2 linked regions of the Sus scrofa genome follow. The protein of the gene in region 2 interacts with the protein of the main gene of each other region in a biochemical or structural test. Links are inferred from orthologs where the notes say so. Each region holds a gene or a part of one and is shown on either strand. Other genes may lie near its edges. The genes, in order: CKB and ARIH2.

The links.
Region 1: of the proteins of ARIH2 (region 2) and CKB, one has a biochemical effect on the other in vitro, tested with the Homo sapiens proteins (2 studies listed by BioGRID). The link is inferred for Sus scrofa from reciprocal best matches to the Homo sapiens genes ARIH2 and CKB.

What each region holds. Positions count from the first base shown.
Region 1 is NW_018084979.1:2,069,994-2,076,988, forward strand, and holds CKB (creatine kinase B-type), read right to left. Parts: upstream 4,029-6,995; 5' UTR 3,866-4,028; intron 3,804-3,865; 5' UTR 3,774-3,803; coding exon 3,581-3,773; intron 3,382-3,580; coding exon 3,227-3,381; intron 3,153-3,226; coding exon 3,020-3,152; intron 2,675-3,019; coding exon 2,503-2,674; intron 1,813-2,502; coding exon 1,689-1,812; intron 1,517-1,688; coding exon 1,327-1,516; intron 1,242-1,326; coding exon 1,063-1,241; 3' UTR 850-1,062; downstream 1-849. UniProt on the Homo sapiens protein: Reversibly catalyzes the transfer of phosphate between ATP and various phosphogens (e.g. creatine phosphate).
Region 2 is NC_010455.5:31,566,805-31,573,799, reverse strand, and holds the start of ARIH2 (E3 ubiquitin-protein ligase ARIH2), read right to left. Parts: upstream 3,672-6,995; 5' UTR 3,671-3,671; coding exon of another isoform or gene 3,417-3,670; exon of another isoform or gene 3,337-3,416; coding exon of another isoform or gene 3,252-3,336; exon of another isoform or gene 2,031-3,251; intron 710-2,030; exon of another isoform or gene 709-709; 5' UTR 645-708; intron 1-644.

The sequences.
Region 1 (6,995 bases), on a different chromosome or scaffold from region 2:
GCAGGTGGCAGCACAGACTGCAGAGTGAGGAGCATAAGAAGACAGGCTGGGGGGTGCCCTGGCTGAGCCCCTCAGGGGCTCATCTCTGGTGAGACCCCTGAGACAGGGATGGTAGCAACTGGGAAATAGACCAGAAGACCGCCTCCAGAACAGACCCGATCTCCTTCTGCCTAGGGACCCTAATGAAGAGAGAGGCCCAGGGACTGGGGCACCTGAGGGTTTTGGAGAGGCTTGCCAGGAGGAAGGGGACTGAAGGGGTTCCAGGGCTTCCTGGAAGGGTATGGAGCCTGGGGCGCCAAGAAGGGCTCAGTTCAGCCTAGGTGGAGGTTGGGAGGGAAGTAGAGAGACTATTTAGGAGCTAGAGTAGGTGTTGGGGTGGTGGGAGGGGATGGTGGCAGGGACAAGCTGCCAGGAAGAAAAGTAACAGGACTTGGGGGTGGAGCACCGGAAAAGGCATCAAGTTTCTGGGCTCCAGTCCCCATCCCCCCTACCCCGCCAGCCCCTGGACTGCTCACTGCAGGATGGGGCTAAGCAGCGTGCAATGCTCTACCCCCGAGGCCCGAAAATCCCTTAGGTCCTCAGGGCAGAGCTCTGCCACCCTGGGGTTCCTCTCTCCACCCCCCCCGGCCCCACCCCCAGCCCACCCAAAACCTGCAAGGAAGCTAAGTAGACAGGATGGCAGAAGAGGCTCATGAATAGGACTGGGGAGGGGGTACAGCAGGCTAACTGTCCGGACAGCCTCCAGCTTCCTGTCCCATGGCACGCAGAAGGGCAGACCCAGGGCTCAGTCCTCACAACCCGACTGCGGGGCCCTGGGCTGCCCTGGGAAAGAGGAGGCACCACTCAGACTTGGGGCAGGCCAAAACCTGTTTATTTCAGCATCAGCAACATCTTAGCCATCACAAAAATAAACTCTACTGAGGGCGGCAGGAGAAGTCTCTACAGCGAGGCTAAGGACTCAGCCACCAAAGGGTGAGCCTCAGGGGTGCATGGTGGGCACTGCCCGGGCAATAAATTAGGAAGCAGCGGGGCTGGTGGTGGCAGCAGGTGCAGGCCAGGGCTTCACTTCTGGGCGGGCACGAGGTCATCAATGGCCTGGCCCTGCTCCAGCCGCTGCTCCATCTCGATGAGCAGCTTCACCCCGTCCACCACCATCTGCACCAGCTCCACCTCGGAGAAGCCCAGGCGGTCAGCATTGGAGACATCGAAGACCCCGCCCACAGCGGCGGTGTCCACACCGCCTGGGGAGACAGACGGGTCAGCAGGGTTGGGGGGGTGTCAAGGGAGGCACCCTGAGGGGATGCCTGCAGTCCCCACCCAGCTCACCTGTGCCTCGCTTCTGGAGCCGCAGCCGCTTGAGCACCTCGGGGAACTTCTCGTGCTTGCCCAGGTGGGGCAACTTGATGTGCACACCTGCCCGCAGCCCCGTGCCCAGGTTGGATGGGCAGGTCAGGATGTAGCCCAGGTGAGGGTTCCACATGAACTCGTAGTTCTTGGACTTGAAGAGGGTTTCGATCTAGAGGCGGAGAAGGTGTCAGAGGGGAGGATGGGCTGAGGCACCCCCAGGGGACCAGAGGGGACCCAGGAGCTCCTTACAGATCTGCCTGAACCCCAGGGCCTCGTCCTGCCCCCTCCCAGGCACCAGGCTCCCACCGTCGCAGCCCCGCCTGGGGGTGGCCAGGCCTGACCTGAGTGAGGCCATTGCAGAAGCGGGTGAACACCTCCTTCATGTTGCCCCCCTTCTGCATGGAGATGACCCGCAGGTGGTCCTCCTCGTTGATCCACACCAGGAAGGTCTTATTGTCATTGTGCCTGCGGAAGGCCCACAGTCAGCCTCCTCCCTGGACTGTGGTCTCGGGCCACGTCCAGAAACCAAAACGAGGGGGCCCCAGACCCAATTCTCAAGTCCCAGAGGTGCTCGTCCCACCTGTACCAGGGGTGCGGGCTGTTGCTAGGACCCCAGCCCCGTCTACACTCTGGGGTCAGGCAGGGAGGGGATGAAAAGGCTTTGGGCCACTTCCCAGCTTGCCCAGTTTAGCCTGGGTGGCGCATGGGGGGGTACAGTCCCCACAGAGGGGAGAAGGGGCAGAGGTGGCCAGGAGAATGCACTTTATCTGGCTTTGGAAGTGGAAACAGGAGCTGGTAAGCCCTTCTCCCCCGACTCCCCAACCGAGGAAACTTCTGCGTCACCCAGCAACTCAGAGTCCCAGCGGGAAGTGGGCTAGAAAGAGAAAAGGCAAGGTCCTTCTCCCAAGGCGGGGTGTTTGAAGGCGAAAAGCCAGCAGGACGGGTCCCCCACCTCTAAGATCCCGAGAGGCTGAGGCCTCTATCAGCCAGGGTCCTTCACACACCTGCGTGCTCAAGGTCACCTGCAAGGAGGCCTGGGCGGCACCAAACCTCTCCCAGGAGCAAGGCTCCTCCCTCTTCCTCCTGACTCGGCCGCTTCGAGGACGAAGGGGCGGGGTGGAGGGACCCGCGGGAGGGGGGTTGGGCCTTACGCACCAGATGCCGCGGGCATCGGGCCAGTCGCGGGCCATGCCCGAGGCCAGCAGCAGGGGCGACACGGGCTTGTCGAAAAGGAAGTGGTCGTCGATGAGCTGCTGCTGTTCCGCCTCGGTCATGCTTTTGAGCGCGTAGTACCTCCCCGCCAGGTCACCGTCCAGGCTCGACAGGGCTGCGAAGGGGCGCGCTCAGGAGGACGAGCGGGAGGGGGCGGGGGAGGGGAGGGTCCGTGCCCATACCCTCAACCCCCTCTCGCGACAGGAGTGCATCCCACCTCCCAATGCCCGCCCAGCCTGCTGGGAATCCAGTCCTCGCGGTCGGTCGGGGCGGCGGGCCGACCCTCGCCGGCCCCCAGTGCGCCGCAGACCCAGGGTGCTGGGCCTGTCCCTCCAGGAAACCGGAGCCGGCTCGCAGATAAGAGCGCGGCGGCGGCTCAGATGACCGGTAAACAAGCGGGCAGGGACCGGCACCGAGGGGTGGGGGGGCGCGGGAGGCACCCAGTCGGCCCGACCTGTACCTTCGACAGCGAGCTTCTCGATGGCGCGGCGCTCCCCGCGGCTGCAGTGCGGGGGTAGACAGAAGCCGCGGATGCTGCGGCCCGTGCGCACCCGCGAGCTCAGCACGTAGTTGGGGTCCAGGTCGTCGCCGCCCTGGGAGACCAAGCGGGGTTCAGCGTCGAGAGAGCCCTCCCTACCCCGACCCGCCGCCCGAGGCCGCCCTGCACCTGAAGGTTGTCTGGGTTGAGATCGGTCTTGTGCTCATCGCTAGGCTTGTAGCCGCCGTGCCGGTCCTCAATGATGGGGTCAAAGAGTTCCTTGAACACGTCATACGACTCCTCGTCGCCAGCAACGCAGCCCACAGTCATGATATAGGGGTGGCCTAGAGGGGAACACGGAATGGGGACAGTGACGTCACTGCCAGGCCCGGGCAAGCTGCTGAGGATCCTGTGGCCGCGCGCGGAGAAGGGGCGCCGGGACCTTGGCCCGAGGGGGGCTGGGGGATGCCCTGGGTCCTAGACTCCCGATATATGTCACGTATACGGCGCGGGCACCCTGACCCCGCGAGTAGGGTGCGGTACCTGGGTTGTCCACGCCGGTCTGGATGACGTCGTCCAACGTGAAGCCGCTGGGCGTGCTCTTAGCGCGCAGCTCGGCATACAGCTCGGGGGTCAGCACCTTGGCCATGTGGTTGTTGTGGCCGCTGAGGTCGGGGAACTCGTCCTCAGCCGGGAAGCGCAGCTTCAGCGTGTTGTGGCTGTTGGAGAAGGGCATGGCGGCGGCGGCGGCGGCGGCGGCGGCGAGCTGCGGGGAGACGTGGGGGTCAGCGGGGCCCGAGGCTCTGAGCCTCCCACCTGCAAACCTACCCAAGGACCGGGCCAAGGTCAGGCGAGGTCTGCGCTGCGCGCAGGAGACTATCACATCTACCACGACGACCCCCAGCCTAGCTGATGCTCCCGTCCTAGGCGGTGGGCCGGGGGGCTGCGCCGAGCGCGGGACGCCCCGGCCTCTTCGCGCAGCCCTTGCCCCAGTGTCCCGCGCAGCCCTTGCCCCAGCGGCCCGGGCCCTATGGCCCACTCACTGAGCGGCCAGGCAGGGGTGGGAGCTCTCGAGAGACCGGCAGCTCCGGGCGCGTCGCAGGCGAACAGCGGTCGCTCAGAGCTCCAGCTGCTCTTAAGGGGCGCGACGCGGGCCTCCCATTGGCCGCTATTTATAGCCCATTCATTCCATTGGACCGCGCTGCGGGGTGGTGCCCGCCGCTTTGTCCGCCGCCCGGGGCCCCTACACCCCCCCCCACCCCTCCCAGGCTGCCCACCGCGACTACCCCCTGGCTGGGACCCCTTGCAGCCCTCCCACCCCGCCCGCCCAGGATCCCAAAGCGGGAACTTTAGGCCATTGGACATTCTGGATTCTCCCACCCGCTGTCTGCCTCCGAGCGGGAAACTGAGGCAGGGGGGCCACCCGGCAGTGAGGGACGCTCAGGCCTGTCTGCACCATGACTTCTGCCTTCCCTCCGCCCGCCAGTCTCCGCGGTGCTCCCAGCGAGGGGCCAGGCGAGAGCGTCCAGGGCTTCCACAGCAGGTACTGCCACCCCCCAAACCCCTCCCTTCTCCCGCCGGCCCGAGCTGGCCCCAAGCCTCTGACCTTCCTCAAGGTGCCCGCAGGCATCTCCCGGGCCATCTTGGTGCAGAGGGAGGGCGAAGTCTGGATGCCGCCCAGCCCGGCGGCACCCTTGGTAGATTGACCTTGGGCAGTTCCCAGGGGATTTTGGGGATCCCAGCCAGAGACCACCCCCCCTCCCCAGACCCGGCCCCTCCTGGTCGATGCAGGAACACATGGCCTTGAGAGGCTGCTGGGCAGTGCACAGCCTCTAGGCCTGGGCCCTCTCTGTCGGAGACAAATACATCTCCCCACCCCCCACCCCAAAGGCAGAACTTGGAGACTCTAGGCAAAAAAACAGGGGAAATGCTAACAAACAATAACTCACTAAAAATCTGAATCATGCAAGTTAAGACAACAATGACTATGCGGTCCACTACCCACCACACACCCAAATTGCAGAAGATTGACCCCAGTCAGTGTGGGCTACAGGGTGGCACGTGGGGAGACAGGCGTTCACACGCTGTCGCAGCTTCAAATTGCTACATCCTTTTTGGAAAGTCACTTGGCAAGATCTATTAAAATGTAAAATGTTCCTTCTCCGTGACCCAGCAATACCACTTCTAGGAATCCAGTCTTTGGAAAGGGCAGCCTCGTTTCTCTTTGCAGGTAGACCAAGAGATGTGTAGTAGGAGAAACAAACACCAATAAATCTGGATACTATTGGATGCCCAACATTTGGGAACTGGCCAGGGCATAGGGAAGGCATTTTCCCAGTGTGGAGTATTACGCAGCTATTAAAAAGCGTGACTTGGAGCTTGTGTGGTTAATGTCCATCATATTGCTTTGTGAGTGAAGCAAGGAAGGGAGGAAACCCTTATCTCTGTGTGGGTTTAGCAGAATTTCTCCAGGGCTGCACAGTGAGCTCTGTGGGCTGCTGCTGGGGGACAGAAGATGCCTGGAGCAAGCCAACCAATGACCAAAATAGCCTCAAGGGATGGAAGGAGATGAGAGCCTCGGGGGCAGGGATAGAGTAGAAATTCCAGTGTATTTGGAGCCTCCGAGGAAGAGGCACTGGAGGAAAGGGAAGTCCGCCGGCCTCTGCCTCCATGCAGTCCTGTGTTCACCGGGGAGGGACTCCTGCCTCTTTCCTTGCATACCCTGGCATGCTTTGACTTGCTCCCAGTCAGCATGTTTTTAGACCCATAAAACAGATCAAGGTAAAAAGGCAAATGGCCCTGGACATTCTGGATTCTCCCACCCGCTGTCTGCCTCCGAGCGGGAAACTGAGGCAGGGGAGCCACCCGGCAGTGAGGGACACTCAGGCCTGTCTACACCAGGACTTCTGCCTTCCCTCCGCCCGCCCGCCAGTCTCTGCGGTCTCAGCAGGTGTCCCTTAAGCCTGAAATTCCTGCATTCTGTGCCCCCTGCAGCCCCTTCCCCTAATTTTAGAAGGATCTGCAGCTGCCTTCCCCAGTTCCCCACCCCCAAAGGCCTGATGGGCTCAAGTTTCTGTTTCTGGAAACAGAGCTGCTGGCCCTGAAAGCCTCCTTGGCTTTCAGACCTGCCCGCCTCAGGGCTCTTTGTCTGCAGCTTCCCAGAAGGCCACCTTTCCCCTCCCCCTCCCCGCCCTCGAGTTGCCTGACCAACTTGGGATGGGGGAAGGGAAGGACCCCCATTGTTCTCACTTCCCTCCAGGAGCAAGGAGAGGTGAAGTCCAGGGGCCTTGGGGTCTTCCCAGGGCCAGGCCCTGGGGTTGCTCCTGCCCCGGTCCCCAGCCTTCTGAGATGAGGGTTTTGTCCTACTTTTGCAGATAAGCAAAGGGAAGATCAGAAGGTGGGTGACAGGGGGACCAGGTCAGAGGTCTGGCAAGCCCTGAGTGATCTTCGAGGGCCTGGGCCTGTGCTAACCAGACGCAGGGCCCACCCCAGGGACCCCCAGCGGGCCAAGCCCGGGGGGCTGGACTCGGACTGACAGTGACAGAGTGCATGGTCAGCAGCTGTGACGGTGGAAGTGGGGTGGGGCTTCCAGGCCTTTAGACTCAAGTCAGGTTGAGGCCCCCCACTAGGCAAGGGCTGCTGGGGAGCCGGTGGGGGTGTCCCAGAGCAGTGAAGCAAAGAGGGGGACTGGGGGGTACCAGCCTCTGCCTCCGGGGGAAGAACACTGCCCATGGCTAAACTAGCCCTTGTCTGTGGACCCTCCAGTCTCCCCAGGGCCCACGGGAGCCGGTTTGGTGGCGTCCAGGCAAGAAACTGGGTGACATCACCTGGCCAGTTACGTTCCAGGTTCCTCAGAAATCACACATGGTTACATATTAACCACTGGGCCCTGGAGGGGGTGGGGAGCCTCAAAGGAGTTCCGGCCTTTCATCCACAGGAATGGTCCGCTGAGCGGGGC
Region 2 (6,995 bases):
CATTTTACTTATTTGTTCATCTGGCCAAGCCCACAGCATATGGAAGTTCCCAGGCCAAGGATCAAACCTGCCCCAGAGCAGTGAACCAAGCTGCAGCAGTGACAGTGCAGAACCTTAGGAACTCCCAAGTTACATTTTAATGATATTATAAAAATATCATTGTCTGATGTTACATACAAATGCTCGAATTTTTCTTTTAAAAAAGTCACGTTAATGAGAGGGCAGTTAACATACTTGCAGTTTGACTTTTTTTTTTTTTTTTTTTTTTGTCTTTTTGTCATTTCTTGGGCCGCTCCTGCGTCATATGGAGGTTCCCAGGCTAGGGGTCTAATTGGAGCTGTAGCTGCCAGCCTACGCCAGAACCACAGCAACGCAGGATCCAAGCCGCGTCTGCGACCTACACCACAGCTCTCGGCAACGGGTCGTTAACCCACTGAGCAAGGCCAGGGATCGATCCCTCAACCTCATGGTTCCTAGTCGGATTCGTTCACCACTGCGCCACGACAGGAACTCCGCAATTTGACTTTTAATGAATTGTTTCGTATGGCAGAACCACCTAATCACAATTGAACTCAACTATGGTTTTTTTTCCTTTAGGAGAAAATTAAAATTTAATTAAAATTTAAAATTTAAATTAAAAATACCTGTAATTCTTGAAGATCTTTCAGGAAGATGTCACCCAAATAGCCTATATTGTATAATTTCCATCTAAAATAAAGAGATATAATTCTATTTATATACTTTTAAATTGGTACCCTAAATTTGCTAATTTATTTTTTAAAAAGTAAACATTTAAAAGGACAAGCAGCAAGGGACCAGAAACTATTTTAAGTCCCATAGAAACCCATATGATATAATTACATATTGACAAGAGTGACATGACCTTCTAAGAAAAGAGTTAAACATCTGACAATAATTTAACGTGGAGTACTGGTGGTAAAAACGGATACCCAGTTCCCTCCCTCAGTTTGAAAGCCCACCACTTCACTCTTATTTTTCAGATTCCCTAAATTAATTACCACAATTTCAATCCTAAATGTTACATAGAGAGTGACAAAGCAAATTGCAACTGACTTAAACTGGACTTTTACTCTAAAGTCATCTCTACTGTGGTAATCTAACACTTAGAGAATACTGCCAATACTTCAGATCTCTATTCATGAAAAAATTATTTTCAAATAAAAAAACGCCCCAGGAGTTTCCATTGTGGCTCAGTAGTTAACAAATCTGACTAGCATCCATGAGGACGCAGGTTTGATCCCTGGCCTTGCTCAGTGGGTAAGGATCCCCACGTTGCCATGAGCTGTGGTATAGGTTGCAGATGTGGCTCGGATTCCATGTTGCTGTGGCTGTGGTGTAGGCTGGCAGCTATAGCTCTGATTCAAGCCCTAGCCTGGGAACCTCCATATGCAGTGGGTGCAGCCCTAAAAAACAAACAACAACAACAACAACAAAAAAAGTCCCCAACAGAATGCTCACTAGGTAATGTTAACACCCATTTCCCACCTCTCTTCTGACATGTTTAGGGCTATGTGACTTTTCTTTTTTTTCTTTTCACAGCCCCACCTGTGGCATACAGAAGTTCCCAGGCTAAAGGCAGAATCAGAGCTGCAGGTGCAGGCCTACACCACAGTCATGGCAACACCAGATCCAAGCCACATCTGCAACCTACACTGCAGCTTGTGGCAACGCCGGATCCTCAACCCACTAAGAGAGGCCAGATATCAAGCCCTCATCCTCACCAGCACTGTTGGGTTCCTAACCCACTGAGCCACAATGTGAACTCCATTCCTAAAATTTGACTTTTATCTGCATTTTTACATAAGATACTGCTTACTGGGCAAATAAGCATAAACAGTATTATAAATATTGCTCCCATCTGCAAAACAGCACTACCAATAATAGCTTTCATTTAATGACACCAATTTCAGGTCAGATTCATTCTCATTAAATGTTTATAACTCTACAAAGTAGCTATCATCCCCTTCTTATAAATGAGGAAAAGAGTTCAAAAAGATTAAATAACTTGCCCAGGTCCACACTGCTGCCAACCAGTAGAGTCCAGTGTTACACTTTCACCAGATCCGTGGCCTATGAGGACTCCTAACTCCCCATCACTCTCCTGGAGAGCCTAATACTATTCACAAAGCCACCTCCAGAATTACAATAAAAGAGCAAGGTTTTCACTTTCTCCGGATTTCTCTCCAGGATTTGGGCTTTAAGGGTTGCCCACAGGTTTCTCATCAACTTAATACTCAAGAAGGAGGGGAAAACATCAGGCTCCCTTCCAAAAAGAAGAACACCATTTCATACTTACTGAGTGTTCTAAGTCTAGACTTAAATAAAATCTTAATTTTTGTTACCTTTTCAAAGTTAAATAAACTTTATTCTACTTGAAAGAATACTGACACTGCTTAAGGAGACCAGTACGTTATTGCCTTATTACAGAACAGATGATAACGGTTTGATTTCCTCTGGATGTTAAATACTATCCCTACATCCCAAACAGAAAAGGAATAACTGAAACTACTTCCCACTCCACCCCCAAAGTCACGTGTTCAGAAGACCTGACATCCACTCCGTGCTAAAGAATTGAAACGGAAGACTTCTCAGTTTAAAGTTGACATGAGCAAAACAAAAACATTTTGGTGGATCTAACGATGTTTAACTACAGATATAATATTTAGCGCTAAATAGTCATTTACTAAATCTACATCTCCGAAGAAAACCTAGTAAAAAAATATGAATCAGCAACTTAGTTTCAAAACCCTACATTAAATCCGCAAGGTAATACGGTAGTCACTAACAACACACGGTTATTTAACTTAAAAATTAAACAAAATTTAACATTTGGCTGTTCAGTCGCACTATCCATAAATCAAATGCTCAAGGGCTACGGGTGGCTAGTGGTCAAGGGTTACTCAAAGGTACAGAATATACGCATTGTGAGAGAAAGTTCTATGGGACAGGGTAACAATCAGTACTGAGGTGAAGTCATCCGAGAACACAGTAGCCTCTCCCGCGGCTAGCACAGCAGGGTCCCCCGAGGCGGCGGCGCAGTTCCTGGGCTGCATATCGTGTCCGAAGGGCCGGGATATCCGCGAGGACACGGAGCCCACGCGCTGGGGAGCCTTCACTGGCGGGCGTTAACTAGCCGCGCGGGAGGCATTGCGAGAGTTCCCAGTGATGACTCGAATGGGAAACTCCGGAGGCAGTGAGTCTCCCTGGTGTGGCCGGCGGAGAGGGCCCAGATGCGCCGGCGCCAGTCGGTGAGAGGCGCCGGCCTCCGACCTTTACGCGAGCAGAGCAAGCGGCTAGAAGAGGAAAAACGGAGAAGCGCCAGGCGCTAGTCCGCTCAGACTACGGTTTTTAGCCGCCCCTCGGCGGGTAGCAGAGGGCGCTGAGACAGTGAAAAGGCTGCGGGGGGCGCCGGGACCTCGCGGGCAGCGACGAAGGCGGAGCCCCGGCCTGGCTAGGGAGGCGCGAGGAGAGCCCACCCCCCCTCCCCCGGCCCGCTCGGGTAAACAAGGCCGCGACTCGCAATGCGCACTCACCGGGAGCCGCGGCCCCGGGGCCGCTGAGCCCGGGCGGACCAAACTGGGTCGGGCCAGGCCTGAGGAACCGGACACAGGCGCGGCGGCGGCGGAGGCGGCGAGCCAACGCCGGTCAAGGCCCGCGCTGCTTCCTCTGGCGGAGCCTTCTTCGCAGCTCCGGAAGTGTTCGGAGCAGTTGCGTCACTTCCGGCCTGAGGTCGCCCCACGGTCGCCCGGGTCGTGACTGGCGCTGGGTGATAACGCTTCTGCGCGGTTGCTTCTCTGCAGCTTAGCGCTCCGACCCAGAGTGTGCCCAGCGCACTGCCGGCGCCGACTGCTGCGAGGGGCAGCAGAGGAAAGGGTTTGGCTTATTGGAGAGGGGTCACTCACTGCATCTCTTCCTGCTTTCTCCTACCAGCGCCGCCCGCCGGGATACCCTAAACCTGAGTTTTTCTTCTTTCTTTCTTTTTTTTTTTTTGGTCTTTTTGCCTTTTCTTGAGTCTCTCCCGCGGCATATGGAGGTTCCCAGGCTAGGGGTCGAATCGGAGCTGTAGCCACCGGCCTACGCCAGAGCCACATCAACATGGGATCCGAGCCACGTCTGCGACCCACACCAGAGCTCACAGCAACGCCGGATCCTTAACCCACGGAGCAAGGCCAGGGATCGAACCCGCAATCTCATGGTTCCTAGTCAGATTCTTTAACCACTGTGCCACGACGGGAACTCCTAAACCCGAGTTTTTCTGATGGACTCCTCACTTCACCGTTTGTTAGCCGTGTCCGGCACGGAGAAGACACCCTGACGTTCGTGGAATGGATAAAGGACTTCTATTTCCCATCCGCTCTCTGATCAAAGATCAAAGGAGAGCTGGGTCTTCGGGTCAGCGCACCGGGTCGGGATTTTCTGCCTACATTCAGATGCCGTCCCCTGGTGGCCGCGGATCTGCAGGACCACACCAAGCTTCCTTTTCCCTTTCCGCAGCCTACTTCTCCCATTCACCCAAGGCTGAATCTTAACTTTCTTGCTGCACAGTTTCTTCAAGAAGTATAGAAAGTGCCAATATGACATTCAGTACCTTCTATGACCTTTAACAAGTATTATGGATAGATAGAACCATGTAGGCTCACTCAGGTTGCTGCTGGACAGCATGGAAAAGCTGCTTCGGGTTTTTTTTTTGGGGGGGGTGGTATTTTTAGGGCCGCACTCGAAGCATATGGAAGTTCTCAGGCTAGGGATGGTATCATACTGCAGCTGTGGCCTACCCAACAGCCACAGCAACACCAGATCCGAACCAGCCGCGTTTGCAACCTACACCACAGCTCATGGCAACACTGCATCATTAACCCACTGACGCCAGGACCAGGGTTGGAACCTGTGTCCTCATGGGTACTAATCCAGTTCCTTACCACTGAGCCACTGGGGGAACTCCTATTGGTATATTTCTTGTACACGATTTTCAGGTTCCAGTTTAACTCACAGCATGTATCCAAATCAAGTGCATTCAAATACAAAGAAGCCCCAAATTAATTTGAAGTGAAAATTAATAGTAAGGAGTGAATAACATAAGATTATGAATTTTCTAGGAGTTCCCCAGTGGCTCAGTGGTTAACGAATCTAAGAACCGTGAGGTTTCAGGTTTGACCCCTGGCCTCGCTCAGTGGGTTAAGGTTCTGGCGTTGCCGTGAGCTGTGGCGTAGATTGCAGATGCGGCTCAGATGTGGCTCTGGCGTAGACCAGTGGCTACAGCTCCGATTCGATCCCTAGCCTGGGAACCTCCATATGCCACGGAAGCGACCCAAGAAAAGGCAAAAAGACAAAAAAAAAAAATTATAAATTTTATATATTAGTAACGCAAAAGTGTGTGTATAACCCAGTGTACTTATTTTATTTGTTTTGACAAAACATATCCATTACATCATGACATTAGTAAAGGACACAAAATGTATTTTCTGGTAACAAGATATCTTTTACTTAATTAGAATCTCTCACTTTGTGTTATTGGTAATAAATCCTCTCCAATAAATAAAAGGGAACATTTTTTTCTGCGTAATTATTGCATTTGCATCATTCACACATCAAGCATATGGGTGTATTGTACAATGTATTGGAATCCCATGTACCGGCCCTGTCTTTTCCTTGCTAAAGGTGAGTTTCTTTCTTTGTTGTTTTTTTTGTTTGGTTGGTTGGTTTTTTTTTTTTTTTTTTTTGCTTTTTAGGGCCCCACTGGCGGTTTATGGAGGTTCCCAGGCTAGGAGTCTAATCGGAGATAGAGCTGCCAGCCAGCATATGCCATAGCCACAGCAAGGCCAGATAGCCGAGTCTGTGAACTACACCACAGCTCACAGCAATGCCAGATCCTTAACCCACTGAACGTGGCCAGGAATTGAACCCACAACCTCATGGTTACTGGTCGGATTCGTTTCTGCTGTGCCACAACTGGAACTCTCTAAAGGTGAGTTTCTTAAGGGCACAGATCCAACCATGTTCTTTCTTTCTTTCTTTCTTTCTTTCTTTCTTTCTTTCTTTCTTTCCTTTCTTTCTTTCTTTCTTTCTTTCCTTTCTTTCTTTCCTTCCTTCCTTTCCTTCCTTCCTTTCCTTTCTTTCTTTCTTTCTTTCTTTCTTTCTTTCTTCCTTTCTTTCTTTCCTTTCTTTCTTTCCTTCCTTCCTTTCCTTCCTTCCTTTCCTTTCTTTCTTTCTTTCTTTCTTCCTTTCTTTCTTTCTTCCTTTCTTTCTTTCCTTTCTTTCTTTCCTTTCTTTCTTTCTTTCTTTCTTTCCTTTCTTTCTTTCCTTTCTTTCTTTCTTCCTTCCTTCCTTCCTTCCTTCCTTCCTTCCTTTCTTTCTTTCTTTCTTTCTTTCTTTCTTTCTTTCTTTCTTTCTTTCTTTCTTTCTTTCTTTCTTTCTTTCTTTCTTTCTTTCTCTTTCTCTCTTTAGAGCAGAACCTGTGGCAAGTTCCCAGGCTAAGGGTCGAATTGGAGCTACCAGCTTATGCCACAGCCACAGCAATTCTGGATCTGAGCAGCGTTTTCAACCTACACCACAGGTCACAGCAACCAGATCTTTAACCCACTGAGATGGAACCCACATCCTCATGGATAGTAGTTTTGTTTGTAACCTACTGAGCCACAATGGGGACTCCCCAACCTTGTTTTCAATATCGCTCTATTAAATAAATGTTTATTGGGCTGATGGTAATACTTTTGGGGGGGGAGGGGCTGAACTCAAGACATGTATAAGTTCCCAGGCCAGGGATTGAACCCCGGCCACAATCACAACCTGCACCAGAGCTGCAGCAAAGCCAAATCCTTGACCACTGTGCCACATGGGAACTTCCTAAAACCATTATTTTTAACTGGTGGAAATTTCTTTCCAGGAAATAAAGATTTAAAGATTAAACTAAAACAAGAATTCCCATCGTGGTGCAGCAGAAACAATCCAACTAGGAACCATGAAGTTGCAGGTTC